Danio rerio: one gene and its partners. The main gene of each other region encodes a partner of the protein of the gene in region 4 in a complex. Links are inferred from orthologs where the notes say so. Each region holds a gene or a part of one and is shown on either strand. Other genes may lie near its edges.

What was found.
Region 1: plrg1 (region 4) and snrpd3l share a complex: the UniProt entries of both Homo sapiens proteins name them as parts of the minor spliceosome. The link is inferred for Danio rerio from reciprocal best matches to the Homo sapiens genes PLRG1 and SNRPD3.
Region 2: plrg1 (region 4) and rbmx2 share a complex: the UniProt entries of both Homo sapiens proteins name them as parts of the minor spliceosome. The link is inferred for Danio rerio from reciprocal best matches to the Homo sapiens genes PLRG1 and RBMX2.
Region 3: plrg1 (region 4) and rbm48 share a complex: the UniProt entries of both Homo sapiens proteins name them as parts of the minor spliceosome. The link is inferred for Danio rerio from reciprocal best matches to the Homo sapiens genes PLRG1 and RBM48.
Region 5: plrg1 (region 4) and snrpg share a complex: the UniProt entries of both Homo sapiens proteins name them as parts of the minor spliceosome. The link is inferred for Danio rerio from reciprocal best matches to the Homo sapiens genes PLRG1 and SNRPG.
Region 6: plrg1 (region 4) and snrpf share a complex: the UniProt entries of both Homo sapiens proteins name them as parts of the minor spliceosome. The link is inferred for Danio rerio from reciprocal best matches to the Homo sapiens genes PLRG1 and SNRPF.
Region 7: plrg1 (region 4) and cwc27 share a complex: the UniProt entries of both Homo sapiens proteins name them as parts of the minor spliceosome. The link is inferred for Danio rerio from reciprocal best matches to the Homo sapiens genes PLRG1 and CWC27.

What each region holds. Positions count from the first base shown.
Region 1 is NC_133196.1:14,699,923-14,704,658, reverse strand, and holds the start of snrpd3l (small nuclear ribonucleoprotein D3 polypeptide, like), read right to left. Parts: upstream 3,134-4,736; 5' UTR 3,017-3,133; intron 1,168-3,016; 5' UTR 1,160-1,167; coding exon 1,034-1,159; intron 928-1,033; coding exon 735-927; intron 1-734. UniProt on the Homo sapiens protein: Plays a role in pre-mRNA splicing as a core component of the spliceosomal U1, U2, U4 and U5 small nuclear ribonucleoproteins (snRNPs), the building blocks of the spliceosome.
Region 2 is NC_133196.1:41,949,793-41,953,681, reverse strand, and holds the end of rbmx2 (RNA-binding motif protein, X-linked 2), read right to left. Parts: intron 1,689-3,889; coding exon 820-1,688; 3' UTR 723-819; downstream 1-722. UniProt on the Homo sapiens protein: Involved in pre-mRNA splicing as component of the activated spliceosome. As a component of the minor spliceosome, involved in the splicing of U12-type introns in pre-mRNAs.
Region 3 is NC_133194.1:42,804,569-42,809,276, reverse strand, and holds the start of rbm48 (RNA-binding protein 48), read right to left. Parts: upstream 3,404-4,708; 5' UTR 3,327-3,403; coding exon 3,201-3,326; intron 3,065-3,200; coding exon 2,874-3,064; intron 1,022-2,873; coding exon 876-1,021; intron 792-875; coding exon 232-791; intron 1-231. UniProt on the Homo sapiens protein: As a component of the minor spliceosome, involved in the splicing of U12-type introns in pre-mRNAs.
Region 4 is NC_133176.1:27,252,076-27,256,344, reverse strand, and holds part of plrg1 (pleiotropic regulator 1), read right to left. Parts: intron 3,079-4,269; coding exon 2,942-3,078; intron 2,819-2,941; coding exon 2,765-2,818; intron 2,660-2,764; coding exon 2,566-2,659; intron 1,550-2,565; coding exon 1,459-1,549; intron 1-1,458. UniProt on the Homo sapiens protein: Involved in pre-mRNA splicing as component of the spliceosome. Component of the PRP19-CDC5L complex that forms an integral part of the spliceosome and is required for activating pre-mRNA splicing.
Region 5 is NC_133198.1:36,935,706-36,939,339, reverse strand, and holds the end of snrpg (small nuclear ribonucleoprotein G), read right to left. Parts: intron 2,861-3,634; coding exon 2,736-2,860; intron 1,139-2,735; coding exon 1,088-1,138; 3' UTR 844-1,087; downstream 1-843. UniProt on the Homo sapiens protein: Plays a role in pre-mRNA splicing as a core component of the spliceosomal U1, U2, U4 and U5 small nuclear ribonucleoproteins (snRNPs), the building blocks of the spliceosome.
Region 6 is NC_133182.1:19,363,608-19,368,584, reverse strand, and holds the start of snrpf (small nuclear ribonucleoprotein F), read right to left. Parts: upstream 3,256-4,977; 5' UTR 3,069-3,255; coding exon 3,066-3,068; intron 2,205-3,065; coding exon 2,079-2,204; intron 308-2,078; coding exon 243-307; intron 156-242; coding exon 89-155; 3' UTR 1-88. UniProt on the Homo sapiens protein: Plays a role in pre-mRNA splicing as a core component of the spliceosomal U1, U2, U4 and U5 small nuclear ribonucleoproteins (snRNPs), the building blocks of the spliceosome.
Region 7 is NC_133185.1:12,055,028-12,060,006, reverse strand, and holds the start of cwc27 (spliceosome-associated protein CWC27 homolog), read right to left. Parts: upstream 3,415-4,979; 5' UTR 3,239-3,414; coding exon 3,197-3,238; intron 2,194-3,196; coding exon 2,097-2,193; intron 1,969-2,096; coding exon 1,856-1,968; intron 377-1,855; coding exon 233-376; intron 28-232; coding exon 1-27. Other genes in the region: protein SREK1IP1, read left to right, coding at 4,040-4,052, 4,430-4,477. UniProt on the Homo sapiens protein: As part of the spliceosome, plays a role in pre-mRNA splicing. Probable inactive PPIase with no peptidyl-prolyl cis-trans isomerase activity. As a component of the minor spliceosome, involved in the splicing of U12-type introns in pre-mRNAs.

The DNA of each region.
Region 1 (4,736 bases), on a different chromosome or scaffold from region 4:
TAGAAACCATGCAAATTATTGATTTGGCTAAAGAGCACTTGACTAGGGCTGGGTGAGTTGGTCTAAAGTGTAATTCTCAATTACTTGAACATTTTAACTAGATCACGATTAATGAATGATTATTGTGTGTGTGTGCGTGTGTGTGTGTGTGTGTGTGCGTGTGTGTGTATGTGTGTGTGTATGTGTGTGTGTGTGTTTTGCCCTCATATTTCACTGACAAGCTTTGACAAATAAGTATGTTTAGATATTACAAGTGAGAGATTTTTGAATGAAGGTTGCATTGCTTGATTTTACAATAACTGAAGAACACACACTATCTATAATTATGTATTGATCATCAACACTGAAGATCTCAATTTAAAACACACATTACCTAAAACCAACAGTCAGTTTTCTGAAAATAAATAACTTGCACTTTTGAAAACAAAATAAATTATTTTCTGTGCTTTTCATATTAAAAGTATAAAACTAGCCATATCTCTTTTAAATAAAATAGCTCTTGTATATCCTGTAAATAATATTTTGAACAGCAATTGCATTTCTTGCATCTTTTGTAAACAAATATTTTAATGTAAACAATAGCTTAATGGAAAATATGCCGTCTCAAGGCATCTCTGGCGCAGCTTACAATCATTGCCAATGCAATGCAAAGTAAGGCTCAAAAATTACACAATATGACTGCAAACACTGTAATGAATTTAAAAAAAAAGGTAACTTTTTTTAAAATAACTAACCTTGAGCTTTGAGAATAGCAGCTTTTCCTCTACCGGCTCCTGCTCCTTGGTTTTTGTTTTTCATGCTCTTCAACATGGGGGCGTTTTTCAACATGTCAGGCAGAATGAGAAAGCGGATTTTGCTGCCACGGATGTAGACCTGCTCGAGCTGTGACACTCTGCCATCTCGATAGGTCACTGTAATGTTGGACATCTGATTCGCAGCACAACAGAAACGCAGTCAGTTGCATGACTCGAGACAACAGACATTAAAAGAATGCGATTTTAGTGGGATAAACTGTTCTTCAGTTCAGCAGTACCTGGCAGTTCATGTTATCCTCTGCTTCGATCAGTTTTCCCCTGTACACTTCACCTGTGTTTGTCTCACAGGTCACAATGTGACCCTCTGCTTCATGCAGGACTTTGATGGGTACGCCAATAGACATGTTTTGAACTGTGGGACAAAAAAAACAAAATTACCAAAAAAATATTATCTATACATCTATATATCTATCTATGTGTGTGTGTGTGTGTGTATATATATGTGTGTGTGTGTGTATGTGTGTGTGTGTGTGTGTGTGTGTGTGTGTATGTGTGTGTGTGTGTGTGTGTGTGTGTGTGTGTGTGGTGTATGTATGTATGTATGTGTATATATATATATATATATATATATATATATATATATATATATATATATATATATATATATATATATATATATAGACAACAGACACTGACCAATGGTTATAAAAGGGATAGTTCTTTCAAAGTGAAAATTTGCTGATAATTCAACCTCATCCCATCCACAATATTGACGACAACATGCACATCATTATGTCACCGGGAGACCTTAATGAAAAGGCTAAACATGTGCACAGGCTGGGGGTTTAAGGTAATACTGTACATAATGCTCAGTTTCTTCCACAGACTGATGCTGTAAATGCCCCCCAAACACAGTTGTTGTGTGTCCTATTTAATGCAAATGAGCTACTGCTTGTAAGAGGGTGGAGCATTTACAGCATGCGTCTCGTCTCGGGCACACAAACCCTTTCTTTGGGTTTATCCGATGACTGCTGCACTCATGTGACATTACAGTTCTTCATATTAAGGAGAGTTTGTTATTTGTTTGCATTTTTTACATTGTCAGGTCAAATTCCTGCTATACTATTTGTTGCCTGTGTACTAAACTTTTATTTAGCATCTTTACCCTCTTACTGCTCTAAATCTATCAAATAAAGTTTAGGATTTTTTCCATCTTACCAACCAAAACACACACGGAAATGCATTAAGATCAGTTCAGTGTATGTTTCTTTCAGATGAAACGGCTCAGACTTACATTTTAGTCAAACCTATTTTTGAGCAATGTTGCTCGGCAATATTGCAGAGTGATTCTGCTTAGCTACTTTCCTATTGATAATGGGTATCAAAATTGTATTTGGATCCTTCATTAGCTGTCCTGTGTCTTACTTGGTTTCTCAATGATAGCATCACTACAACATCTTCCAACAACCATGCTCAAAATTGTTCTGGTATCATCCCCTTAATGTCTTTGATATATATATATATATATATCAGTAAGCATGGGAGGAGCTCGTAACGTCACTGAATCTGAAGTAGACTGCTTCTGATTAATGAAGAATGTGTAAAAAGTGAGTGTATATTACCATTACAGCCTTTTTGCTTATACTGTCGAAATCAGAGTGTAGTTTTAACTCAAATATATAGTTATAACACATTTAACTTTAGCTTTTGACTGTATATGTTTTGTGAATATCAAAGGTTACCCTTTGACTTGGATTTTATTTATAAGAGCCAGGTTTAGTTTTATGAAACAAAAAATAACTCCCAAAGTCACCTCTTAAATAGAAAAAAATAATATGTCATATTTTTTGAGTAATTTAAAATAACCGACTCGTTAGAACGATTTATTATACCTTTTTTGCTTTTGATTCAATAAAATGAACCGACTCTTACGAATCATTCGTTTAAGAATCATGTTCTAAACATGTAACGTTAGCTGGAAAGAATCCACGCTAGAATATGAAACACCATAAAATCATTTGGCTACGGTACTTGTAAAAACTGACTTATAACGTTACTGAACTCAATAACAGGATGAAGCGATAGACATTAATGAATATCCAAGATTGATCTCTCAAACGAGTCGCGTGAATGCAAACAATGAATGACCGAAATATATGTTCCTCTACTAAATAATCGAAAAAGGACTGTATATTTTAGCACAGAACCACGCAAAATACCCCACGTAGTTATCAGGTTATAATCATAAAGCATTACAGTACCTTGAATCTGCAGATTCGTTGAAACACAGCAGCGGAACAACGTGAGCTTGTGCGACGTTTTCCCGCTCCCACAATGCACCTGAAAGCAAAAGCCCCGCCCTTTCCTGAAAACCAGTTGCATCCTGGGAGGTGAAGTCCGTATTAAAACTACGCAGCAAACATCTCAAGACTCGCACACAAGAGGGCAGCATCGAATTGTGCATTTTACTTAAAATAATTTAATTTAGTGTTTTAAATCTGAGTCAAATTAGTGTCACATTCATAATAAACAGTTAATCTAAGTAATTTGATTTAATTTTAAATATTCATATTGTAATTAGTTTGTTAAATCTATCTTTGAAATCCAATATATGAGAAGAACTGTAAATAAAATCGATAGAATGAACCTATTAAAACAGTTTTTTTTAAATATTGTATATTGTATTATATACAGCTATGATATAATATATAAGATGTTTATTTTACTTTTATTACAATTATTGAATTATTCACATTGTTAAAAACAATTGAATTTAATATAATGTCAATTTTATCTTTCAAATTAGTATAGCAATATTCATTCATTCATTCATTCATTCATTCATTCATTCATTCATTCACTTTCCTTCGGGTTAGTTCCTTTATTCATTAGGGGTCACCACAGCGGAATAAAACGCCAACTTATCGTACATATGTTTTACACAGGGGATGCCCTTTCAGCTGCAACCCAGTACTGGGAAACACCCAAACACACTCATCCACACTCAAACACTACGGCCAATTTAGTTTATTCAATTCACCTAGAGGAAACCCACACCAACACGTGGAGAACGTGCAAACTCCACACAGAAATGCCAACTGACCCAGCCAAAAATCATAATTTCATTATTTCATACATTAAAAATATATAAGTAATTACCATAATACACTGTAAAAAATTTGTTGCTGTTTTAAATTTTTAAGTTGAATCAATTTAATTTTAGTAATTTCAACTTACATCAATCAAACTGATTTAAAGGGGACTTTTTATGGCCCTTTTTACAAGATATAAAGTTTGTGAAATCTTTAAAAGTCTCTGATGTCGTTTTGGTTACTGTCGCTTTAAATTCAAATGATATTGTGTTCCCAGCCCTTTTTTAAAAAGGGGAGCCACAAATGCCTGTGTGTCAGCATAGTGGCAGATTCAAAAACAAGACTAATGTAATATGCTAATGAGGGACAGATTGTCACTACAAAGAGAGAATGTCAATCAAAGTTTTTCTGCAGACTAAAATTAATATATTTTTACCATTAGAAGGTGATTATATTTACAGACTGTTCCACACAACTGTTTAGACCTCTTATAAAGGGAATTTTTGCATAATAGGTCCCCATGAAGTTAAAATTGCTAACGTAAAAAAATTAACAAAAATGAACGCTGTTGTGATGTTTGGATCAAAAATATATATAAAATGGATCAAAAATATGCTGTTGAAGTCATAACTATTAGCCCCCCTTTGATTTTTTTTTCTTTTTTAAATATTTCCCAAATGATTTTTAACAGAGCAAAGAAATTTTCAAAGTATGTCTGATAATATTTTATCTTTTGGAGAAAGTCTTATTTTCTTTATTTCAGCTAGAATAAAAGCAGTTTTAAATTTTTTAAAAACAATTTTAAGGTCAAAATTATTAGCCACTTTAAGCTATATATATTTTTTGGATAGTCTACAAAACAAACCATCGTTATACAATAACTTGCCTA
Region 2 (3,889 bases), on a different chromosome or scaffold from region 4:
CAAATATATCAATTCAAGATGTTGATTAGAACAAAAACTATGTGGAAAATATTCCTTCAAAGACGTGCCGTTGCTTTTATTTAGAACACGATTTAAATCAGCCTTTAGGCTCGATAGTCAGGCTCGCTCCTGTTGGTCCTCAATCTGGCAACCTGCGCTTGTTTTGATCCAGGAATGTAATACCTAGTTCAACCACTGGGTGTACTAGTATTAATCTGGGGTCGCCAAAGCGAAATAAACCGCCAACTTATCCAGCATATGTTTTACGCAGCGGATGCCCTTACAGCTGCAACCCATCTCTGGGAGACATTTAGACTACCCAATTCATCTGTACCACATGTTTTTGGACTGGGGGAAACCGGAGCAGCCGTAGGAAACCCACATGAACGTTCGGAGAACATGCAAACTTCACATAGGAACGCCAACTGACCCAGCCGAGTCTCGAATCAGCGACCTTCTTGCAGCACTACCTACTGTGCCACTGCGTCGCCTACATTCAATGTCTTTTAATAGTTAATTTTATTTTACAAATGATTTCAGGTTTACAATTGACAGGAATTCTTCGCATCACCTTGACTTTGGAGTTCATCAGGACATTTATTCTATTTTATTCTTGTTACAGTATTTGTGCTAACTTAAAATGAAATCTATTTATTAGTCAAATAAAATGTGTGTAATTTAACATTGAGTGGCCATTAGTCAATTATTCCAGAAAGACTTAAAAAAAGTGTGAAACATTTATTTACATTTTTGTAGTACAATACAATAAAAACATGAATATTTTTTACATCAAAAGAAAATGTAAACTACTGAGTTTGATCAGTTTCGCCTGTGTTCTCTTTCACGACTGTGATCTCTGTGTTTGCCATTACCTCTGTCTCTCTCTCTGTCCCTGTCTCTCTCTCGTTGTCGGACTCTCTCCTCATCTCTCTGTCTTCCTCCGTCTCTCTCTCGTTCTCTGTCTCTCTCCCCATCTCTCTGTCTTCCTCCATCTCTCTCTCGTTCTTTGACTTTCTCCACATCTCTCTGTCTTCCTCCGTCTCTCTCTTGTTCTTGGTCTCTATCCCCATCTCTCTGTCTTCCTCCGTCTCTCTCTCGTTCTCGGTCTCTTTCCACATCTCTCTGTCTTCCTCCGTCTCTCTCTTGTTCTCGGTCTCTATCCCCATCTCTCTGTCTTCCTCCGTCTCTCTCTCGTTCTCTGTCTCTTTCCCCATCTCTCTGTCTTCCTCCATCTCTCTCTCGTTGTCTTTCCCCATCTCTCTGTCTTCCTCCGTCCCTCTCTCGTTCTCGGTCTCTTTCCCCATCTCTCTGTCTTCCTCCATCTCTCTCTCGTTGTCTTTCCCCGTCTCTCTGTCTTCCTCTGTCTCTCTCTCGTTCTTTGTCCCCCTCTCTCTCTCCTTCTCTGTCTCTTTCTCTCTGCTGTGTTTCTGCATGTCTTCTGTCTGTCTTCTTGCCCTCTTCTCTCTCTCTTTCCTTCTCTTTTAACTGCTCCTGCTCATCTGCTCTGTCTCTTCTATTAGCCGCAGGTCCTTTCACGCTGTATTTCTCATACGCCACATCCTCCTTCTCCTTCTTTACTCTGATAGGAGAAGATGCAGAGCTTTCAGAGCGCCCCTCACGTTTCTCCTCCTTCAGAGCCTTTTTCTTCTCTTTCTTCTCCTTCTTCTTTTTCTTCTTCTCCTTTTTATCTGAAGCATAACAAACAATGTTTATCAATACATTTGTATCTCTTGTGACACTTAAAATACTAATCATTTGTCAGACTTATGTATTATCAGATTAATGCTTATATTTCATGAGTAGTTACATATTCCAGACACATTTATTGACATTTACATTTACATTTAGCAGACGCTTTTATCCAAAGCGACTTACAAATGAGGAGAGGGGAAAAAATTTACACAACTAAGAGCAACAATGAATAAGTGCTATAGGCAAGTTTCAGGTCTGTAAAGTCTAAGAAGGGAAGTATTAGTAGTATTAGTATTTTTTTTTTTTGGTACAGTTAGTGTGATATTCAGAGAGGCAATTGCAGATTAGGAAGTGAAGTGGAGACTAAATAGTTGAGTTTTTAGTTGTTTCTTGAAAGTAGCGAGTGACTCTGCTGTTCTGATGCAGTTAGGGAGTTCATTCCACCAACTGGGCAGATTGAGCGTAAGCGAAAGTGATTTCTTCCCTATTTGGGATGGAACCACGAGGCGACGTTCATTCACAGAATGCAAGTTTCTGGAGGGCACATAGATCTGCAGAAGTGAGAACAGATAAGAAGGAGCAAGGCCAGAAGTCACTTTGTAGGCAAACATCAGAGCTTTGAATTTGATGCGAGCAGCAACTGGCAGCCAGTGCAAACGGACTAGCAGCGGAGTGACATGTGCTCGTTTAGGTTCATTGAAGACAACTCGTGCTGCTGCATTCTGGAGCAGTTGAAGAGGCTTGATAGAGTTAGCTGGAAGCCCGGCTAGTAGAGAGTTGCAGTAATCCAGTTTGGAGAGAACAAGAGCTTGAACAAGGAGTTGAGCTGCATGTTCAGATAAGAAGGGTCGGATCTTTCTGATGTTATAGAGTGCGAATCTGCACGATCGAGCAGTTCTAGAAATGTGGTCAGAGAAGTTTAGTTGGTCATCAATCATTACTCCAAGGCTTTTCACCATTTTGGATGCAGTAATCCATCTGGATTGAAAAGTTATGGTGAAGAGTCGAGTTGGCAGAAACTACAAGCATTTCCGTTTTTGCGAGGTTCAGCTGAAGATGATGATCTTTCATCCAGTGTGAAATATCCAACAGGCAGGCTGAAATGCGAGCTGGAACCGAGGGATCATCAGAATGAAAAGAGAGGTATAGCTGGGTATCATCAGCATAGCAGTGGTAGGAGAATCCATGTCTCTGGATGACTGGTCCTAGAGATGATGTGTAGATGGAGAACATAAGTGGCCCAAGAACAGAGCCTTGAGGTACCCCAGTGTTTAGATGCTGTAGGTTGGACACCTCTCCCCTCCAAGACACCCTGAATGACCTGTCAGAGAGGTAAGATCTAAACCATTGTATAACAGTGCCCGCAACGCCCAGTGACTCGAGCGTAGATAGCAGGATCTGGTGGTTGACAGTGTCAAAAGCAGCTGACAAGTCCAGCAAAAAAATTTATTGTGCTAATTTCTCTGTGTTCATGTATTCAAAGCAGATTTATGTATTACAGCTTTGGTAACACTTATCACACAAAAAGGTTGTATTAGTTATGTAAACAATTCTGTTTATAATTTTAGTGGACAGAATGTCAAAGCGCAGTCTTGGAATGGAGGGGGTCTGGTTCAGGGACTATAGTTATTTGCAGACGTTGTTGTTGTTCTGTTGGCCTCATCGAACATGAACCTTCAGCATGCACTGGGGCGGTTTGCTGCCGAGTGTGACTCGGCTGGGATAAGAATCAGCACCTCCAATTCCGAGGCCTTTGTGCTTCACCGGAAAAAGGTGGTTTGCCATCTCCAGGGTGGAGAAAAGTCCTTAGGAGTTTAAGTATCTCAGGGTTTTGTTTACAAGTGAGGGAAGGATGGAACGTGAGATTGACAGGCGGATCAGTGCAGCGGCAACAGTAATGCGCTCGATGTATCGGTCCATTGTGGTAAAGGAGGAACTGAGCCGAAAGTCAAAGCTCTCGATTTACCGGTAAATCTATGTTCCTACTCTCACCTATGTTTATAAGATTTAGGTCGTGACTAAAAGGATAAGATCTCGGATACAAGCGGCCGAAATAAGTTTTCTTCACAGGGTGGCAGGGCTCACCCTTATAGATAAGGTGAGGAGCTCTTTCACCCGAGAGGAGCTTGGAGTAGAGCCGCTGCTCCTCCACATTTGTAGGTGTTTAACTGAATTGCTTTAATGCATTCCTGCTTTG
Region 3 (4,708 bases), on a different chromosome or scaffold from region 4:
CTTTGAAACTATTTTGAAAAAAAACTTTTTTTTTCACATTGTCATGATGGGGTATTGTGTGTAGAACTTTGAGGAAATAAATTAATTTCATAAATTTTGGAATAAGGCTGTAACATAAAGAAATGTGGAAAAAGTAAAGCGCTAAGAATACTTTCCTGATGCACTGTAATAGGTGAATCTTAAAATTGGGTTAACAATCCCAATATTGTTGAAAGTAATAAGAAAACTAACCTTGGTCATGGTGTTACGGATCAAATTGGCGGTAACATTTAACGAAGAATCTTCCATGTCCAACTTGGGCAGCTCTGGTAATTTTGGACCAATCAGAACCCCCGTTTTATCTGCTTCTTTCAAAAAGAAGGTTTGTTCATCTAGTTTCCTTTTTCTGCTCTCTAAATGTGTAGTCCTTGGCATAAATCTAATAGACGGAGTGGAAATCTTCTGTTTTTGCCTCAAATCTCCCTCTTTAACACCTGAAGATGAGGAAGACTCACTCTGCGTTGAGGTTTTTTGTACAGGAGGGATGAAATTATGCAGAGAGCCCATTTTATCCTCTGTCGTTTCATTGGTCCACTGTAATTGTGATGGCTGGGTAAAATGATTTTGAAGTCTATAAGAAATATCTGCTGTTGGAGGCAAAGGCAACAGAGGAAATCCCATATAGTCAGAATTTACGTTCTCCCTTCTGGCTTCTTCAGGGTTTTTCTGCATTTTAGGAGCTTCAGCTGTTCGTGTGTCTGTGCTTGATGATGACTCTGTGTTTACTTCCGCTTGCTGACTGTGTAGTTGTGCTGAAAACAAAATAAGCATATGATAGTTGTTAGACTTTCTACACATGCAATTTATTTAGAGAGAATACCAATGCATTACCATACCTGCATTTCGGCTTGCCCAGTTAACATATCTCCTTCTGTCTTGTAATTTCTGCTTTGTTTCCTCCACGGTTTCATACTCAGGAGCATAGCAGACATGCAGCTGACCCCCGAAGAAGCTCTTTTCATCTGTGTGCCTTTTAGCTGCCCTGTAAAAAAATAAATTAATTAATTAATTTAAAAAAAAAAAAAAATTATATATATATATATATATATATATATATATATATATATATATATATATATATATATATATATATATATATATATATAGCATGGCAATATCCACTCACTGGCCATTTTGCTAGGTACACCTGTCCAACTGCTCGTAAACACCAATTTCTATGCAGCCAATTACATGAAAGCAACTCAATTCATTTATGCATGTACATGGTCGAGACAATCTGCTCCAGTTCAAACATGAAAGCATGGATCCATCCTATCTGCTCAATGACATGCTATCATGTCAATATGGACCAAAATTAATGAGGAATATTTCCAGCTCCTTGTTAAATCCATGCCAGAAAGGATAAAAGCAGTTCTGAGGTCAAACCCGGTACTAGTAAGGTGTACCTAATAAAGTGGCCGGTGAGTGGATGTCATTCAGTGTAACAATAGTTTATAAGAAAAACAATTTTTGTCAGGCATATTTTTAAAAATCCCAGTACAGCTATTTTTACTTTGACACTATCCTAAAAATATATAGTTTTATTAAAATATAATTAAAATAACTACGATTACTTAATTCCATATATTTGAAATAATTATTCTTTGATTTTTGCTTTGGTTTAGAGGGGAAAAAATATGTAAAAAAGTATTTATAGAATTATCAGCAATAAATACTCTTTATAATATTCTTAAAATGTTTAATGGCAGTAAAGAGATTTACAGTGTTATTAAAGAGAAAGAGACACTAAAGAACATTAAAGAATCTTGAACAAAAAAAAAAAAAACCCTTAGATGTTTTGGATGTTAAGTTGTGCAACTTTACAACATTGATAATAATTAGAAATTATATACTGCACAACAAATCAGCAAATTAATTATTTCCGAAGAGTCATGTGACAATAACCATGTATAAATGCGAGTACCAAGCATGAAAATTACCCTTCATCCTCAACACAATACATTACACTTTTAAACAAGATAGAAAATGTGACAATGTAATAATACATCCGATTGTTGATGCTTTGTTTTTAGTTAAAAAAATATTAGCTGACTTGGTGAGCATAAGATGCTTCTTTCAAAATCATTTTCAAAATGGAAGACTCCAAACAATTGTATGGTAGTGTGTGTACTGTATATAGTTTTCTATATGTGTTTATTTAATATTTTAATAATGAATCATAATGTTTTAAGTCACATTTTGTGGAACCTACAAAGACAGTTCACTCCAAAATAAAAATAGACATCATTTACTCACCCGTTACATGTCACAAACATCGTCTGAGCTGAACACAAACGATATTTTAAAGAAAGCTTGAAGCCGGTAACCATTGACTTCAATACTATTTATTTGTCCTACTATGCAAGTTGATGGTTACTGGATTCCAGATTTCAAAATATCTTCCTTTGTGTTTCAAACCACTTGAGGGTGAATAAATTGTTATTGTTACAGTATTTGAGTCAACTATCCCTTTAACTAAAAGTGAATGCGACTCTGCAGTGCACCAACATGGTACATTGAGGTAAGGATGGTTTTAGATTCACACATTCTTTCAATGACAACTTGTGACATGCTCCCTATATTGTTTACCATGGTACTTTTAATATTGGGTTTGAAATCACATGCAAGTATGACTTCAAATCAGCATTACCACTATTTATTTGACTGTGAACAATGTTGAACTTTGATAGTCACTAGCTGCTAATTTGATTCACTATTAAGAATATGCAAAGAATACTTTTCTGAAATTATATCATCAACAAGAAAAATATGGCACAATATATAATATATGGCACAGACTCGCATGGGACATGATTTAATCAGCCTTTTCTTACCGTGCACTCGTCAACTTCTGGAACTGAATTAAGTAAACCTCAGTGAACTCTTCTGCTGGGTATTCATCCAGTGGCCTGTACTCCTCGATCACTCCATACAGAGCAAACAGCTGCACCAGCTCAGCCATCACTCCAATAGCGGGCACTCCTTGAACTAGTAAATACCGAGACTCCAGGTTGATGGTGTACACCTAAAATTAGCGATTCAGCCATTATTTTTATAAGCAGAGATTCAGTTCTTGTGAGAGAGACCTTAAAGACAACATGACTGCTTACATTGACGCTGCACAATTCGATGAGATAAAGGCATTTATAAAATAAACCGACCTTAACAGCTTTGAGGCGTCTTCCTTCTCTGTATTTTGGTCGCGTTTGGGCAACATTTTGCTGCTCGTGATGTTTATACACTTTTTGTGTGTCCCACACAGAGGAACTAGCAACTGACCCGTCCATCACTGTGGAAATCAGCGACGAAAAAAAACAGGCTTTCAAAATAAAAGTTCCAATTAGAAAAAATAAATAAAAGCCCGCTTTCCCAAAAGGATGCTAATAAAAATAATATTAAGAAGAATAATGATGATGGTGATAAAAAAATATTATAATGATAATGACGATGATAATTATAATAATAATTCATTTACACATCCAAATTATGATAAACACTTCTAACAAAATAAAATAAATATCAAAAAGATTTGGACAAAAGTCAAAATTGTAAGATGCTAACTCGCAGAAAATGTCGCAACTATTATAAATGCAGACGAATTAATTATAAACTATATTATAAATTTATTTTAAGTTTTTAACGTTTAAAACAAGCTTCTTTTTTTACCCATTTAAAGGGTTAGTTCACTCAAAACCGAAAATTCTGTCATTATTTACTAGGTTGTTGACTTGTTCCAAACCATTTTGATTTACTTTCTTCTTAACACAAATTAGGATTTTTAAAAATACATATAATACAAAACTTCCATATAATTATTTTCAGCATTCTTCAAAACATCTCTTGTGTTCAGCAGAATAAAGAAACTCAGAAAAGCTTGGAACCACCTGAACCTCTGAGTAAATAGTGAGCCCATTTGATTTTTTGGGGTGAACTCAATATATTACTATAAATTACTAGTAGGCCTATTTAATGTGGGAGATCATTATAAAAATTATTAGAAAATTAAGCAAATATATACTATTCAGTTGCTGGAGTAAAAGATTAACAGTGTTTTACATTTATTAAATGTAAAAAGATTTGTACATTACATTGATATAATGATGTAGGCTATTAGCCTATCCTGTACATTAGCTATATTTCATTCATTATGCATCCATTAAATAAATTAAACCTGTCCAAATTAGATCGTTTAAAATGTTTGAGCAAACGAGAATCTGCTATGTTGACTTTGTCAGATAAATAATGACTGATCATCTATGATGACTGATGGAAAACTGTTCAGTGTATTATATTGAATGGTGATTATTCCCCATTCGCCCGTCTTGATCGCTATATTTGTGAAATGGTATGCCTATGCATTATTGTTTACAGTGTTTGCCTATACAATACATATTAACAATAACCTTATGTGTAAAATATATTGATGATGTCCGAGAAGAGGTTAATAACATTAACACCCGTCTAACTTAGATCGTGTGTGCCTGAAACGTGTGTATATCTGCAGCTGGATAAGTTTTAACCCCAAAACACACACATATTAAATAAATGAATAACGTATACATACATTTTGCGGGGCTACTCATATTTCATTTAATAAATATTAATACTAACACACGGACATGTTTGCACAGTATTGCTACAAGATCATTACTGTAGTTGTAATTAAAAC
Region 4 (4,269 bases):
AAAAAATTAACTTGGTTAGTGGAAACGCCAAGATGTGAATAAATTTAGAAAATGCACATAAAAAACATGTGCCCATACCTGAGGATAAACTTTTTATTTCATAAAAAAAAAGATGCACATTAAAAACGGTCATATGATTTTGTTATAAGGGATCATGTGATGATAAAAATGTGTGTAAATGGACAAACCAGCAGGCTCAGCACATTGTAAAACATATAAAATGTTGTTTTGGTCATTCTAAAACACCTTAAACGTTTCAGTATTAGTGTTATTATACAATTAATGACCTAAAGAACTATCAAGAGCGTCTGTGCTCAGCGTCTCACGGCTTTAAACGCCTCCGCACATTCACTGCGAATCGGCATACTGTCTTCTAAGGCGCAAGTAATTTATTAAATAAGGAAAAAATTGATGCAGCTTCTCCTACCGCAACAAATTCCATTTTTACTGTTGATATTTGGCACCAGTTAATCAGGAAGTGACAACTTTGTTCTCTTTGACTACTTGGATGGAAACGCTGCTTTATTCGTATGTCTTATATGGGATATTCCAGTTTTGCGCTTAGTTAATTAGCATTGAAATTATAAAAACTAAAGTAAAAAAAAGAAAATAAAAATGATTAATTAGTTTACAAAAAACTATTTTAAAATAACTTTAAATTGATTGTAAATTTAAAAAAAAGTATATATATATATATATATATATATATATATATATATATATATATATATATATATATATATATATATATATAATTATTGTTATTATAAAAAGTATAAATTTAATTTTTTACAATATATTATTATATTATATATATTATAATCATAGTTATTGTTGTTTTTTATATATATATATATATATATATATATATATATATATATATATATATATATATATATATATATATATATATATATATATATATAAACAGTGTTGCTTGTGATGTGCGTTTAGATAAAGACCCAGAAAATTGGACTGCAGAAGTTGATCCTTCCCTCTTCAGCTTTGAAATTTTAGTTTCTTTTCTTTACATTTATGAATCATTTCAATTAAAGAGCCCATATTATCCATAACAAAAGGTTATATTTTGTCAACATCGATACGAACAGGAAAAAGATCCAGATGAACGACAAATCATTTAAATGACTCCCGAGTCGAATCTTTTATTAAAAATCAGCTGGATATTTTCATTCACTAAGAGCTGTGTTGCACACTGCATGGAAGGTCATTTTATTCCCCCACAATAGTGACTTTTTAATTATTAATTGATTATATTTTAATTAAATTGATTTTCTGGTTTGGATCTTTATTTGGTTTTGTTACTTTATTCAAGCCTGGAGGCTGTAACACAATTACATCTAAATACAAACCCTAACTAAACTAATACATTAACTATAGCACATAACATTAATAATACATGTTAAACCTGAACACACAAAAGTAAAATCTGTTGCTGACCAGTGCATGTTGTGGGGGATGAGATCTCTCTGCTCCTCCTGCATGTCTGTGGATTTCTGCCACACTGGCTGCAGTTCGACTGGCTTCCTGCCTACAAAACAAACAATACCTCAGATTTAATTTACCCTTGAATGTGTCTTAATGATCTGATCACAAGTTAACAGCACCAAATACAGGTTCACTACAGGGTCCATGATGTTGCTGGTCAACGGACTAATTCCCCAAAAATATATTTAGGTGAACTAAGTCAAAATAACTTTTTTTTAGCACACAAAACAGTTTTTGAAGTCACAATAAATAATTTTACAATATTCTTGATTTTCTTTTTTTTGGACTTTAAATGTCTCATCATGACCCTTACTGTCTTTTAGAAGTTCTTCTCATGTATCTAAAATACTATATAAATATCTTGATTTGTGTTTCGAAGAGCCTCAAGGAATTGGAATGACATGAGGATAATTCAAAACAATTGCAATTTTTGGGTGAAATAATTCTGGTGAAAAACAACATTTTGAAATGAAAATAAAATAAATGTTTATACCTATCCATTTTTTTTTTTTACTTTTTTTTAATAATAAACCAATTCGTAACCAATTTCACATTATTACATTTATTAAATTCAATTTTAAACATTTAAAAGGGGTTCTTTCCTTAACTTACAGTCAGGCATGACTTACTGTCTAGAAATCAAAGTAACCATATGTAAATGCACGCAAAAAAAAAAAAAATGCTTTGTTATGATTTGGTTTTCTGAGGTCAACCAAAGAGAAGCTTTAATTTCTCATTGTGAAATTACAACAGTCATACATTGGTATTATAGAAATCTGTACAATTACTTTAAATCAAATTCGACAGTAATAACATTTATTATTTTGTTTACAATTTTCGTTTGAAAAAAAAAATTATACTATTTATAATAACAATAACTATGATTATAATTATTTCAGGCCAAATTGTGCAACCTAAATACAAAAGCATAAGTGTTGTCGTGCTGGTTTTAAATTTTTTAAAATGTTTTTTATGGCAAAAAATATATATATAATTTTTTTTTTTCTAAAAACATTTAATAGTAACTACAACAACCCATAAGGAAATACAATTCAGTACCTAGCTTGAGACGGAGGAAGAGCAAGGGCCATGGAGTGAACACCCATTTCACTGGGCATCTTCAGCATTTGTGTGTCTGCAGTGAGGACAACTCCTGAAAGCGTAATAATAAAAAAAAAAAAAAAATTATTAGGCCTCAAATAAATTGGTTGAAATGTTTAGCATCTAGGCTAAATAAGTAAAAAAATCCTGGTTCAACCTGGAGCAGATGGATAAGGGTGTGTTCCTGTCACCAAATATTCTGGAGTAGTGTCTGCACAAATGAAGTCAAACAGTTAATAGTTAATGAAATCTTTGAGAGGTTTATTAAAAAAACAAACTAAATGAAAATACTGATATAAAGAAAAAGCCAACAGGATTGGTTTATGAGCCATACCAGGCAGAGGGTACGCCGATTGGCCATATGGGTCAGAGGTGTGGAGAGAACCCTTTTCTCGGCCCTCCTTCAGCACAGGCATGTGTAAGACAGCTTTGTATTCGGCCCGCATCTTTGCTGCCATCTTCACCTTGAAGCTACAGACAAAACGTAAATAACATTAACAAAAGTAACAATTAATGTAACAATTTACACCATTTACTACTGGTTTATTAGCTTTCTATTATTGAGATATTACAATGTTTTAGCACTCATAAAGTTTGATCTTATTGTACATCCCTAATCCTACTCAAATACCTAAACCCAACTACTACCTTACTATTACAAAGCAGCTAATTAGTAGTTAGAGAGCTAAATGTCTTAGCTGATGGTTTGCTAATAGTGTAAATAGTACATTCAACTAAAGCAGAACCAAGTATTTATCAAGTTTTTTTTTTATTTTGTGGCAAAACATTGCTGAATAATTCTAAGCGAGTTTACAGCATAAGAAAGGTTTATACAAACATTAAAAGGGTGATCCACTACAATATCATATTTTAAACTTTAGTTAATGTGTAATGTAGCTGATGTAATGCGCTCAAAGTTCAATGCAAAGGGAAACATTGACTTTTACAGAGTAAGCCTAGCAAAGCCTATAGCGAACAAAAATTGGAGACTGCAAAAATTACATCCGGGTTAAGCAGAATTTATACTTTTGCCTGGCAACGCAGACCTCCGCTGACTGCACGCGCACCTCGCGAAACAGACGAGGCTTTTATATTTGCCGTGTTCGCTGTTGTGATATTCCTTAAAATGACAGGGGGCAGTCAAAAGAAACTGATCATAAAATAAGATGGATAAACAGAGAAGTAAAACGTCTCCGGAACTAAGTCATATCATTAATATCATTCAATATTTTTACGAAATATTTAATGCCTTCGTATGCTTTCACCCATGAGAGGAGTGGGCGGGTCTGCGACCAGCTCCTCCATGGCTGCAGGACCAGATGGCTGCCCACCCTCATCGCACTACATCCATATCCCCTGTTCCCATCCCAGTTGTCAATGTTGTGTCTTGTCTGTGTGCTTTCTTGTGCTAGATGGGCTGTTTTTCTCCGTCTCAATTTGCTCTAATCAAGAGCAAAGTTTAGAGGGTATTTTTTGCCTAACCCTCCTGATGCATCTTGCCTTTCTAAATGCTACCTCCTGTGACCTGTCTTCCCCTGAAAATTGTGATGTTTGTGTACGGTCAAATTTCACAATACGAAAGTGTATGTGACAAATAAAGGCCTGATTTGATTTGATAAAGCCTAGACAAACAAGCCATCAGTATATTGTAAACCGATGGGT
Region 5 (3,634 bases), on a different chromosome or scaffold from region 4:
ATTGAATCAGTTCTCTGCAGGTCAATAACTGTCTGGTTTACTTCAGCTACCAAATCCAACCTCTGTAGACTATGTCGAATAATCCGGACCGCTGAGTGAATCACTGGTACAACCCTCCCTACTCTCTGAGAGCTGTAGTTATCCAGAGCGAGAAAAAGGGCTGCCAAAATCACTCTGGACCCCTCACACCCAGCACACTGCCTCTTTATAAACTGTTACCTTCTGGTGGACGCTACAGAGCACTGTGCACCAGAACAGCCCGACACAGAAACAGTTTCTTCCCTCAGGCAATCCATCTTGATAATTTATCACACTTGATAATTATGAAACAAACATCACTACTTGCTACACACTTTTTAAACACACATACACTTATTAAACAACATACAATAACGGTTTCCCCACAAGTCCATACATATACCTGTACATACACTTGTCGATTTGTATATTTGCATTCACTACTGCTATTTTAAAATATATTTATAATCTGTTTTTCGTCCTGTCTCTAATTCTGTTGCACTGTAGAAACGGTCACGAAAACAAATTCCTCGTATGTGTAAACATATCTGGCAATAAAGCTTTCTGATTCTGATTAACTTTACCCTCATACTTGGGACAACTAGTTTTACTCGAATATTTTTTGTAAGCACAGATCAGATTAAGTGTTTTCCCTTTTACACAAATATAGTTTTTTTTATGCTGAATGACGTATTTTCCATATATAAATCCTTATTTTTGAACATCAAGCAAGTTTTGCTGTTATTAAAAACATGTTCATTTTTATCAGAGACTGTGAATGCAAAGCCTGGTAAATATCACACAAATCAGACATGCGTCAAAAAATGCCACTTGGATAATCACACTTCATTTATTCACAAAATGTTTTATGAATTGTGTACACAAATACAAAGAGGAAATATATAAAACACAAAAAGTTGTTTACAAACTGAACATTTGTCGACAAAATCAAGGATTTCTGCTTATTATTGAGTCTTTGTTGTAAACAGACATGAGAAACCCATTCTTACGTTTTCTGGCTGTGGGGAAAAATAACAAAAAGAGGGAAAAAAAAAACTGGGTGTCTTTCTCATACTCGCTCAAGAGCCTCCAGCATGATGATACTGTTTCCTCTGATTACCTGAAAAGACAAAAAAAAGAAGAGATTAGCCATTTAGTCCAAGCTATCATGTTCTACTAGTGGTTAGCACTGTCACCTCACAGCATGAGGGCTGCTTTTTCAAGTCCCGGCTGTGTCAGTTGTCATTTCTGTGTGGAGTTTGCATGTTCTCCCACTGTTCGCGTGGGTTTCCTCCGGGTGCTCCGGTTTCCCCCACAAGTCCAAAGACATGCGCTACTGACCATATTCTAAAATGCGGAGTGCGGCTGTTTTTGCGATTGTGTGTGTGGATGAGAATGTATGAATGTTTCCCAGTACTGGGTTGCAGCGGGAAAAGCATCCGATTTTATTTGTACTACATTTTATTTTATTTAAGGTAAACACCAAAGATGCCCTAATTTTTTAGACTGTACAGAGCAGCATTATAACAGAACCCTAAAATGTATTTAGTACGATGATCCCAACCAGAAAAGGTGGAGTGTGGCATAATAATAGCTCTTTTTTTTTTTTTTGTCGCATTGCTTTTATGTCTTATTAGCAATAACTTTAATGTTCTCACACCAAGACGTTTTTTGCTCGCGGTTTCCGTCGTTTAACGCCTCGTGACTAAATAAAGGGTGTCATGGTGATCGTGCACACCAACACGCAAAACAGTAGGCGTAAAAGCGCCATTTAAAAAAAAAAAACGCCTCATTCTCGTTTTTTTGTTTTGACTCGCCGCGTCAAAACCTTCTCCACCAATCAGGTTGCCACTTTTGTTCACGTGCAGGGAGCTGCTGAAGTTACAGTAAACAGCACTTGGAGGCGCTCAAGTGCAAAACTGTCAATGGGAGCGCTGCGATGCGAAACGCTGACAATAAACGCAAATGAAAAGCATCCCAGTGTGTAAGAGCCTTTATTCTGCTTCACACAACCAAGCTAATACATTCCTTTTATACTTTAGCTCATCCACAAACATTTCTGCAGAAGTGGTGTAGGATGTAATGAAAACCATAACTCCCATTATTCCACACTCACACCATGTCCACACATAAACAGGGTATTTTATAAAACAGTTTTTCCAGCTTGTGTTTTAAAAACAATCTCTGTCCACATCAAACAGAAAATTGCACTGTGATCCATGTTAAGGGCACGCCGAACCAACTGGCAGAGATTGACACATTTGCTGGATTCACACCAAATGGGGAAGTATTTTTGCAGGTAACTTGCATACAAGTCAATGCAAACATGAGAACAGGTGGATTACCATCCTGTGGTGCGAACTAATCAATATATGCAATATTTTTGCCGTGAACGTGCAAAATTTGCCGCATTCAGATCTTCCGCATTTGATGTGAACTCAGTCTTGTAGGCCAATCAGAAAAACATGAGGCAAACAATGAGGTGAAGTCTAGTTGTAGTGTCCACACCAGACCCAGAGTTTTGGAAAATCTTAACCCTGGCTGTTTTCATGTGGAAAAACCTCACAGAAAAAAGTGGTTTAGAAAATAGCAGGGCTTGTGTGGACAGGGCATTAGCCTCATAAAAATCTGTGTTTGTTTGTTGTGAATACACACCCTCTAGCAGTAAAACTGACATACTGTGCCTCTAATAATAAATTGTTGTAATGAGTACTGACCACCATCCCAATGGTGTTCATTTGTCCTCCTGGAGCCATTTCTATAGTGTCATCAACGACCAGATTCATGAAGGGGTCAAATCCACGCAAGATGCCCTGAACATGACGGCCACCGTTGAGCTTTACTGAAAGTGCACATGAAAACATCAGCTTTAAAAATAATGCAATAAAAGCCATACAAATTAAAAGTGTCAGGCGTTCATTCAGATTCATGTCAATTATTTAAATTTCTATAATATCTTTGCATAGAAAGCCACATTAATTCATTCAAAATGTGCGTACACTTTTTGTATTGAAGTCGAATAGGATCAAATGAATCATTGTTTGTTCTCTAAAACATAACTCAGTAGCTTTATGTTAAAGCTGAAACCACACTTCATGTGATCAGAAACTTCTCATTAATGAGTAATTTTTTTATATTATTGATAAAACCCACAGGCAAAGAAAAAAGTATGCATTAAATTAGTTATTAATAACATACCCCACAAACATTGAATATATTTATATAAATATACAATTAAATTAAACAAGGTACAACATTTATTTCAAATGTTCACAAAAAAAAAACTTCACTTGCAAAATGTTTAATTTCAGGTAAAAAAAATAAAAATAAATAAATAACCCGAATTAGTTTAACTTTTGTTATTAATTAAACAGAAGAAAAAATAAAAATCTGTAATATTAGAACAGAGGCGGATATAAATACATAGTATTAAAACAGGGTATCTGCACATTTTTTAACAGGAAATTTAAGACCTTTTAAGACCTTTTTAAGTCCTCTAAAATGAAAATTTAAGACTTTACCTAAACAAAACAAAAAAAAAAAAAAACAGGAAAATGTTCAGTGTGTCAACACAGAATGATGTGGTGAAGTATGGCGGCAAATCTATGGCGGCAAA
Region 6 (4,977 bases), on a different chromosome or scaffold from region 4:
GGAGACACAGCTTCACATAAAACTGAGACAAACTGTAAATTAACCAACAAATCTTCCAATCTTGTTAGAAAAGAAACCAACACACTCTTCATTCTCTCATCTCTCCATCTTCTTCCTCTTCTTCTACTCCTCTAATGTACAAAACATTATTACACCTGCAAAGAAGAAAACATTGATGTAATAATTTAAAATGTACATTTTCAGTTATTGCCATGTCGGAGTTTCCACGTCCAAAAGCTTACCTGATGAGCACCTCACCAAGATGACCAGCTAACGCTCCATCCACATACTCTTCTGTGTTGGCCAACTACAAATATCGCAAAGAGAGAGGCAGTTTAGGGTTTATTGCCATATCAGTTTTGCGAGTCTTATAACAAAAGTATATGAAATATACAAAATATCATTACAATATATGTAACAATAAAAAGACAAACAACATTAACAAATAAAATTAGATAAAAACTTAAAATAGTTTAATTCTACCATCTTCGAAAGATTCACTTTTTTTTTTTTTTTTTTTAAATAGTTGCTTTAAGGCACAGGTGTCAAACTCAATTCCTGGAGGACCAAAAGCTCTGGACAGTTTAATTCCAACCCTAATTAACCACACCTGATCAAACTAATTGAGTCCTACAGTCGTTTGAAACCTACAGGTAAAGCGGCAGGCACACTGCACCCCTATAGACTTCCATTTATTAGCAAGTAAATGCCTTAGACAGGAAACGCAAGCTCGTGCCACAAGTTTCGCAGTTCGATGTGTTGGAAACTTAAAGCTTGGTGAACTCTGACCAATAGAAGATCAAAACACGACCTCTCTGTACAGAAATTTTAAATATGGTCAAATCGTAATCAGCTTGTTTAATCCCGCCCCTTTTTGCAGCACCAAACGGCAGAATTTCACATGCTCAAACTGTAGTGTGGGGAAGCAGGGTTGCAACTAAACTATGCAAGACTGCGGCCCTCCAGGAACAAAGTTTGACATCCCTGCTTTAAGAACTCTCCAGATAAAAATGGTTATCTAAAACATTTTAAACAGGGCATTGCAAAAGTATCAACTCGAGTTGAGTTTTATTGTCATTCCGCTACATCTGTGGACACACAGTGAAATGTCTTGCAGGACCACAGTGCAACATAAATAAACTATCATAAATATAAACAACCCTTATAGACATAAGAGCGATTTTAAACCTATACATAACTACATAGCAGAGCAGTAATTAACTATACATGTACTAAAGACCTTTTTGAGGGATGTAAACAATAACAATGGTCCTACTGTATTTTCAGTAGCTTCTGAGAGTCCAAAAAGTCCCACATATTGATAGTTACAATAGCTGTTATAATAGCTGTTATATAAGTTATGAATGAATCGCCTCTTGTTACAGATATGAATTGACAACAAGCAGGAAATATTCATGGGCCAATGGCATCACCACATTGAAACGGTCTATAAATAGTAAAAAAAAAAAAAAACTTTACGCATAACCTTAGACAGACTATACAAGTACTTTTATATAAGACAGAACAATATTGTGCAAAAGAGATCATTTAAGGTTGAAGGAAATGACCAGTTAAACAATTTGTGGTACAGTCACAGGTAAACATTGTTTTTTTTTTTTTATTAAGTCCTTGTAAGAGATCTAGAAAAACTTGCATTTAGAGAGATTAGCATTTCTACAGGTGGTTTGTCAAGCCCACTCACCTGTGTGAACCAATCTCAGAAATGCACAATGTTTTATAGAGCTATGAAGTGGTTGAAAGAGAGGGTCTGGTACAAATAGACAAAACTAGTGCAAGTGTGTCAAGGAGTGTTTATAAAGCCCACTCACTTGTGTAAGGCACACTCAGAATTGCTAAATATTGAGGTTTTCATATGAAGTGTATATGCTTGACAGCTAGGTTGCCATTACAATATTTACATTTTTGGCCACCTTCTGCTTTAAGCAGATGTCTGTGTGTGTCTAGCATCTCCATAATGGCATATACAACGGTATGTCTCGAGTTAAAAAGAATAGTTTAAATTTTCTTCCTACTAAGGAGCTGGATTTTCATAGAATCGTTAACTCTTTTAAACATACCTGCATGTTCATGTACCCATCCACTGACACCAGGTAGCCCTTGTACTCCATGCCCCACTTCAGCTTCACCATCACAGGCTTTCCTGTCAGACCATTCAGAAAGGGCTTTGGGTTCAGCGGCAAACTCTGAGGGAAAAGATCAGTGTTACACAATTAACATCATTCGAAATCAATCCCTAAGTGTCATTTTCAAACAATTCCATGTCAACATAATATTGTTCCTGAAGAAGTAAAATACTACAAATGTTGATGATTTTATTCTCAAGTGAGTGAAAAGCTTAGAAGAAACTTTAGCATAGCCTCCGGTGATGCTCAGTCATATTTGACCAAATAGAAAAAAAAAAAGATTTACATTTTGGGTTTTAGTTTTTTTTCTTCATCAGCTTGTTATAACTTTTAGTAAAAAGTTTTGACACTAGCCGCATGAATTTACACAAGCAAAATAAACAAATAATAAAAACAAAACAAAAACAGATACAATTGATATGACTTCATTTTAAATTGTAATGACAAATTCTCATTACTGTAGTTTGTGGTATAAAAAATCAAAACACGCATGCATACACACAATATATATATATATATATATATATATATATATATATTGTATAACTTCAATAAAACAATATAATAATTTACAGCATTAATTGTTTTTGGTTTCCACCAGAATTAGCTGCAAATAAGCATCAGTAATAGCAGAAAAAACTCCTTTAACGTTAGTTTTTATCTTTAGTTTTCCCACACATATATCATTTAATCGCATTTTGGGAGTCACCGACTAGGTTGTAAGAGAACAAGGAGGAACATTTATCAGCAAAGCTCAACATTTCTAACACAACACTGAAAATGACTGAAAACAACGTCCAGTCTGCGTTCCTGATGCTAACACCTAGCCGCATTATCAGCGTATTTATGAATGAAAACGTCTACGCTCTTTCGCCAAACTGAAGGTTTGGATACAAATAAAAGAGATAACGATGAACTTACCATGACTGGATTACTTAAGTAGTATTTTCAGACACAAAAATTGTTTATTTGAATAGTATAAGCTAATGCAGCACACTCGCACGCCTTGCCGCCGAAAGAGGGAAGGACTACGAGCGCACTTTGACCGCACGGCAGGAGAGAAGAGCGGATCTGCCCGCTGCGCCACTCGCTGGACAGGCGGGGAATAGAGCCGTGAATCCTCAGTTGAGCTGGAGTGGAGGTCTGAAATTAAAGAAATAGTTTATCCAAAAATAAAAATGTACTTACTATAAACTATTTCCGTTTGATGATGTCGTTGGCCCATAAACATTTCCTGCTTGTTATAAAACTGTTTCACAGCTGTATCAAGAGGCAATTCAACCATAACTTAATGTTAAAACAGTTCTTATAACATTATTTATCAATATGTGGCTCTTTTTAGATTCTCGGAAGCTATAGAAATTTAAAATGTAAAACAGGAAATACGTAAGGACCATTGTCTTTTGTTTAGATTCCTCAAAATTGTCTATATAGTCACCCTTGAGGGGTTTCTAACCTTAATGAGATTCTTTTTTTTCATTTGAAAACAAAAATAAGATATTTGGAAGTATGTTAAAACTGGTATTGTTGTTTCGAAAATGTTGGACACCGGTAACTATTGGCTTCTATTGTATTTGTTTTTCATCATATTATAGAAATGGTTACCAGTTTCCAAACATCTTCTTTGGTGTTCAGCAGAAGAAATAAACAAGTGAAGGGTAAGTAAATGAGAACATAATTTCATTTCATCACTATCCCTTTAAAAAAATTAATATGTATAAATTATTTTATATATTTATTTTGTACCATTTTTAACAACTCCCAAAACAGCAGCAGTGGATCATTTTATCATTTCATTCAACGAGAACGGAAACTTGCAATCATTTACAGTCTTTTAGATTTGTATTTGAAAGCACAACACATCTAATTTCTCTTTGATTTGTACAGTAATTTAGCTTTGCAAAACTATTGACCCTCAATTATATAAATAAAAAAAAATGCAAATATCCCACATCAATCATTTAACCGAAGACTTGCCCAGTAGGTTTTTGCATTTCATTACCATCTATTCAAAAGAGGTCATGTTTGAAATGTCATGTACAGTGGTGGATAGTGATGGACAATATTTTCTTCCCCAGAGAGGGTGTATATAGTTAGGTTAGTTAGTTAGCTAGCTAGTTGGTTAATTTATTTGTCCCTGTAGGGTAATTTCATTTGCAGTATACACTCACAGAGACAACTAACATTTCAAATTTGCCATTTATATAAATAAATCATGAAAAACATGGTACCCCTACTCTAAATAAATATCTAGACTACTGGCCATCAACTGCTACTGAGGGAGGAGGAATTTAAAAACTTAACTGCTTACGGTATAAATTAAGATTTTGTCCTATTTCTCACTTATCTGGCAACACAATAGTGATGACCTGATAATAACACTTGGAAGGTGTATGGAAAAGGATGTCACTCATCTTTGACAATCATGATAGCCTTATTTAGTACTCTTTCTTTGTATGTACTATCTATCAATGCTCTTTAGTTTTATTCCCAACAACTTATTGGCTGTAGTTGCCACCTTCCCCAGCAGTGACCTTTTCTGGGCCTCAGAAGCATGTCCATACAAACAGATCACACAAAGTGTTGCAGTACTTGAATAAAAGTACTATAAAACATGATAAACAATGTGTTGTCAACATTAAAAGATAATTGTTTCTTAAGGAAGTAATTTCTCTGTTGAAGCTTTTTCTTTTACAGTCAGTCAATACATCCCTTAAGTTTATTGTCTAACACACTCAGATATTTATAATTTATTACTAACTGAATTTGCTCCTCATTAATTAATGTGGGATGAGTTTTGCGTTGTGCTCTCTCTCTAAAATCAATAACCATC
Region 7 (4,979 bases), on a different chromosome or scaffold from region 4:
CATGTTATACACTGTATCTCCAGTGACCTGCGGCCAAAAGAGCAACATAAAAAAACAAAAACAGAATTTTGACACATTATGTGTATGAAAATAGAAATGAAAATGTTATTTTTTCAGAAAAAAATTTCATGTTATATGGTTGTATATGATATATGGTTTTTTTTTGGTGCAATAAAAATAACACTACAAACCCTAAAAACACTTTAATGTGTCATTATTTTTAAAAAGTCACCTTTCCAAAAATGGTGTGTTTGTTATTGAGTTCATCTGCTCGTCCAAGAGTAAAAAAGAACTGGCTCCCATTATCATGAGGTCCTGCGTTTGCCATAGCAACCAAACCCCTCCGATTGAATCGTAATCTGGAGTGAAATTCATCCTGAGTTGGGAAAAAACAATTAATGACTAATAGCATTTGTACACAAAACAAAGAAACACTCACTGGCCACTTTATTAGATAAGCCCTTTTATCTGCTCACAGAAATTGAATCTCAATGCATTTAGGCATGTAAATGTGATCAGTAGGATCTGCTGTTCAAACCAAAGCTCACAGTTTACTGTAGTAAAACCTAAAGTATACTACAGTATTTATTAGTTTATTAGTTCATTATAGTAAATGCTACAGAATGCTGATAGCATTCATTAACAAATTTGTATTATTCTTTGAACTATTATAGAGTATTAAATACAGTTATATTTAGTATAATACATTTCACAATAGTATCATTCAAAAACACTACGGTATTCACTATAATTACTATAAGTATTTTTTATAAGTGTAGACTGCTATTCAGTTTGAGGTAAAAGTGTTAAAAATATGTTATATTAATAATAACACAGGGACAACATTTCTGTTTTGATTCAATTTCATTTTAAGCAAATGCTAATTAGAATCAGTGGACTGCTTATATGTATTCATCTAGACTGAAGGACATTTTCTGAACAGAGAGAGTATTTCATTCTGATCTTCTGATCACTGAGAATCCATCCCCATAAAACTTAAATACTGTTTAATAACACTGTTTTTACTAATATGACTTAATTATTATATTTACAATAACATTCCATTAATAAGAGGCTGCTCTGTTTACGAATCGTAAACTGGTGATCTGAGACCTTCAATCTGGACAGATTTTAGTGCATAATTTACAACAATTCGTCTTTTTTAAATTGTCAACTGATTTTAAAGAAATGTTATATTAAATAAAAAAAGTGCATGCATACAGCTATATTTGGCTTGTTTCAACATTATTTATATAAAAAGATGGCTTAGAAATAACTAGTTTTAATTTCCTGGCCAGTAGAAAAACATCATAAGCTTTTAAGTTGTCGATCACAATTAGGAAGAAGGGGGATTTTATGAATGTGGCATGGTTGTTGGCGTCTGAGCATTTCAGAAACTCTGTAGCTGATCTACAGGGATTTTTAACAAGAAAAAAAAACATTTCTAGGGTTTACACAAAATGGTCCAAAAAGATAAATTATCCAATCAGTAGCAGTTCTGTGGGTTACGCATCCTGTCACAAAGCTCAGATCATCTCAAGCTGGTATCTTTAACATGACAGTGAGTCTCTAAACTCAAATGACCTCCACAAAAACCAGATCTCAATCCAATAGAGCACCTTTAGCATGTGCTGAAAGTGGAGATTCACATTCATGTGAGTGTATGCCAAAAAAATGTCAATATGGACGAATCTTTCTACCACCTTGTTGAATATACCACAAAGAATTGAGATATTAATAGCAAGACACGCCAAATTTACTGAGGTATGAGTGTAATTGTTTTCTTCAAAAATAACTTGTAGATCATCAATGTAATTATACAAAGCACCCAATGATTTACAGAAACAACAACAACCTTAAAAGGCCGGCCGTAGATAGACTCCCCACCAGTTCCAGTGCCTGTCGGATCTCCTCCTTGAACTATGAACTCTGGCACCATACGATGGAAGATTGTGCCATCATAGTAACCTTAAAAACAGGCAAAAATGCAAATGTCTATGTATGAAGATGACTTGATATGATGAATAGTGCAAAAAATATTATAATAAAATCATTGCCTTTTATATGTGCATGAGTTTGTGTGTGAATCCACCTACCTTCCATACACAGCTGAACAAAGTTTCTACATGCTTTGGGAGTTTCCTTAGACCAGAGCTCTATGTCTATGTCACCTGCAGAGGTCTTCAGCAAGACCTGTGAGAAAACACCAGTTTAGTTCAAAGGCTTTATTTACTGTAAAGCTTTACACTATAACAGTTTGTTTTTTTCAGTGGAAAAACTGTTAATAGAAAAAACTGCTAAAATAAACATACAAAGCCTTTATTATCACATCTAATGCATAAAATAAAACTAAAGAGATTTAAATGGATCTCATAAAATGAAGCATTTTATTCATTCATCTATTTCGGCTTATTCCCATTATTAATCTGAGGTCGCCACAGCAGAATGAACTGTCAACTTATCCAGCACGTTTTTATGCAGTGGATGCCCTTCCAGCCGCAACTTATCTCTGGGAAACACCCACACACATTTATTCACACTCATACACTACGGCCAATTTAGCCTACCCAATTCACCTGTACCGTATGTCTTTGGACTGTGGACCCACACGAACGGAGGGAGAACATGCAAACTCCACACAAAAACGCCAACTGACTCAGCCGAGGCTCGAACCAGTGACCTTCTTGCTGTAAGGCGACAGTACAACCTACTGCGTCGCCGAAGCATTTTATTATTAAATACATATTATTGGGAGATTTAGAATGACAACTTAAACACTTGTGTATTATTTAAGTAGTCAGATATATTATATTATATACACATTATTAAAGATCACTATTAAAGAGTAAAGATCTCACCAATTTAAAGGTTTTTAGAATTTCACCCTGATGAGCTGTATTACATATGAGAATATTCTTTTATCTTAAATGTACATGTGTGTAAACCTTTTCATTGTTTTTTTCGTTTTTTTAAAGCATTAGTTTAAAGGTTTAATAAGCCATTCTGTTTCTAAAATACGTGAACAAATGTATAAAGGTACTAACTTGCTTGTTCTCGTAAAATACTGATTCGTTGCATAATTCATAATTAAAATGCAAGTAAATAAAATACTTAAATTGCAAGCAAAATCAGACTCAAATTAGTGTATATGCAGTATTATATATCATGAATATGATTTTGAGATATGGAAACTCACCTTTCCATTAGTTGGTGGCTCTTGAATATATATGTTGCTCATCTTTAGTGCGTATTATTGGAGTATACTTCCCTCACCACGGTTTCATTGATGACAGAGAATGTACAGAATATGCGCAGATGTTACAAAAACATAAGAAGCACGTCTAGCCGATATAAAGTACCAGAGTATGTTCTGTTTACAAGCGCTTCATGTCACGCCGCCGCAGAGTTTCGTTCATTCGTCATGCAGACTTTGTTCGGCCTTATCGCCCCCTATAGTCTCGGAGTAAATATAAACGTACCATTTAGATTATAGAACATTGAGAGACAGATTTTTATTTTTACAAGCAATCATTATAATCAATATGACCATGTTTTATGTGTAAAGTTTAAAACTTCAGGGCACATCACGAAAATAATCTCCACTTATATTGTCGTCTTTGAATTATAGCGTGTAGTATAGTATTGTAGTGTTGGCATTTTTTAAAACATTTTGTCCTGCGAGTGAAAATTGTGTCTTTCTATTCAGAAAAATGTATCCCCAAAAATTGTTGCTTAAGCCAATATCTCAAAATTCAGATAAACCATAAAGATATGGCAAATTATCTCTTATCGTGACAATATTTATTGGTTTTCAGTGCAGCATCTTGCGTTTATCTTTTTAGCGCTAATATTTCGTAATACATTCATATTTTTCATGCATCTATGGAAGGGATTAACTGTTCTCCAAATGGTACCATAGAGCACTCGTTCACTTTCCACCCGGACTCTTTTACCAGACGGATCGGTTTTGTGTTTTGAAAAGCGGCGGACGGAATACGACGAAAGTTATCATTTCTATCTATTTATAATCGAGTACAACATGGCTGCCCCAGGTATACTTTTGTGGGTTTGTCCATAAGCATTGCTGATTGTTGTTGATATGCTACTTCGGGATTATTCTAGGTAGTAACACTGCACGATTATCTTCGCTCGTCTGGACATTCACATCGCACACATTTACCTAAATAAAAGACTGTTGTTCCTGAATTCCTGAATGTTTTACATTTACAGTTACGGTTTACTGATTAATAATGTTTATAAAATCTCATGACGACGCATTATTTTAATTCTACATACTTTCTTTGATATTGTTTTAAATGGTGAGCTAGATGAATCCATTATGAAATATGATCAATACAGAATATATGTAACAATGTAAATGACACTTTTAAAGAAATATAAATTGAATTGAATGTCTTTTTATGAACAGGTCCAAATAAAGACAACATCAGAGCTGGATGTAAAAGATGTGGCTATCGTGAGTATGGCAAAAACATAACTTTACAGTTGACTTTGTTTTTGCTTTTTTTTTTTGTTCTGTAGTTTCTTTCCAACAATATTTCAGTTTATAAGTAGATTTTTTTTCTATATTTCTGCTTGTAAATAAATAAAGATAATGAATCATAGTCCATCTATCCATGTACCATCTTTCTATCTACACACAAATCCACAGATAAATATATACATAAATACTTAATTGAAGTGTTGTTTGGATGGCGTTTTTTTTTTTTTTTTTTTTGTCTTTCTTTACACAAATATATATTTAAAGTTTAATTTACGTTTACTTTTGACAGTTTTTCTGTTTATCTACAAAAATACATATTTTAACATTTTCATATGAATTTGGATTTGTTTGCCCATTTATCTGTCTAAACCAGGGGTGTCCAAACTCAGTCCTGGAGTGTCCTTCATAGTTTAGATCCAACTTCTTTCAATAGACCTTCCTGGAAGAGCTTGATAAGCTGGTTTAGATGTGTTTA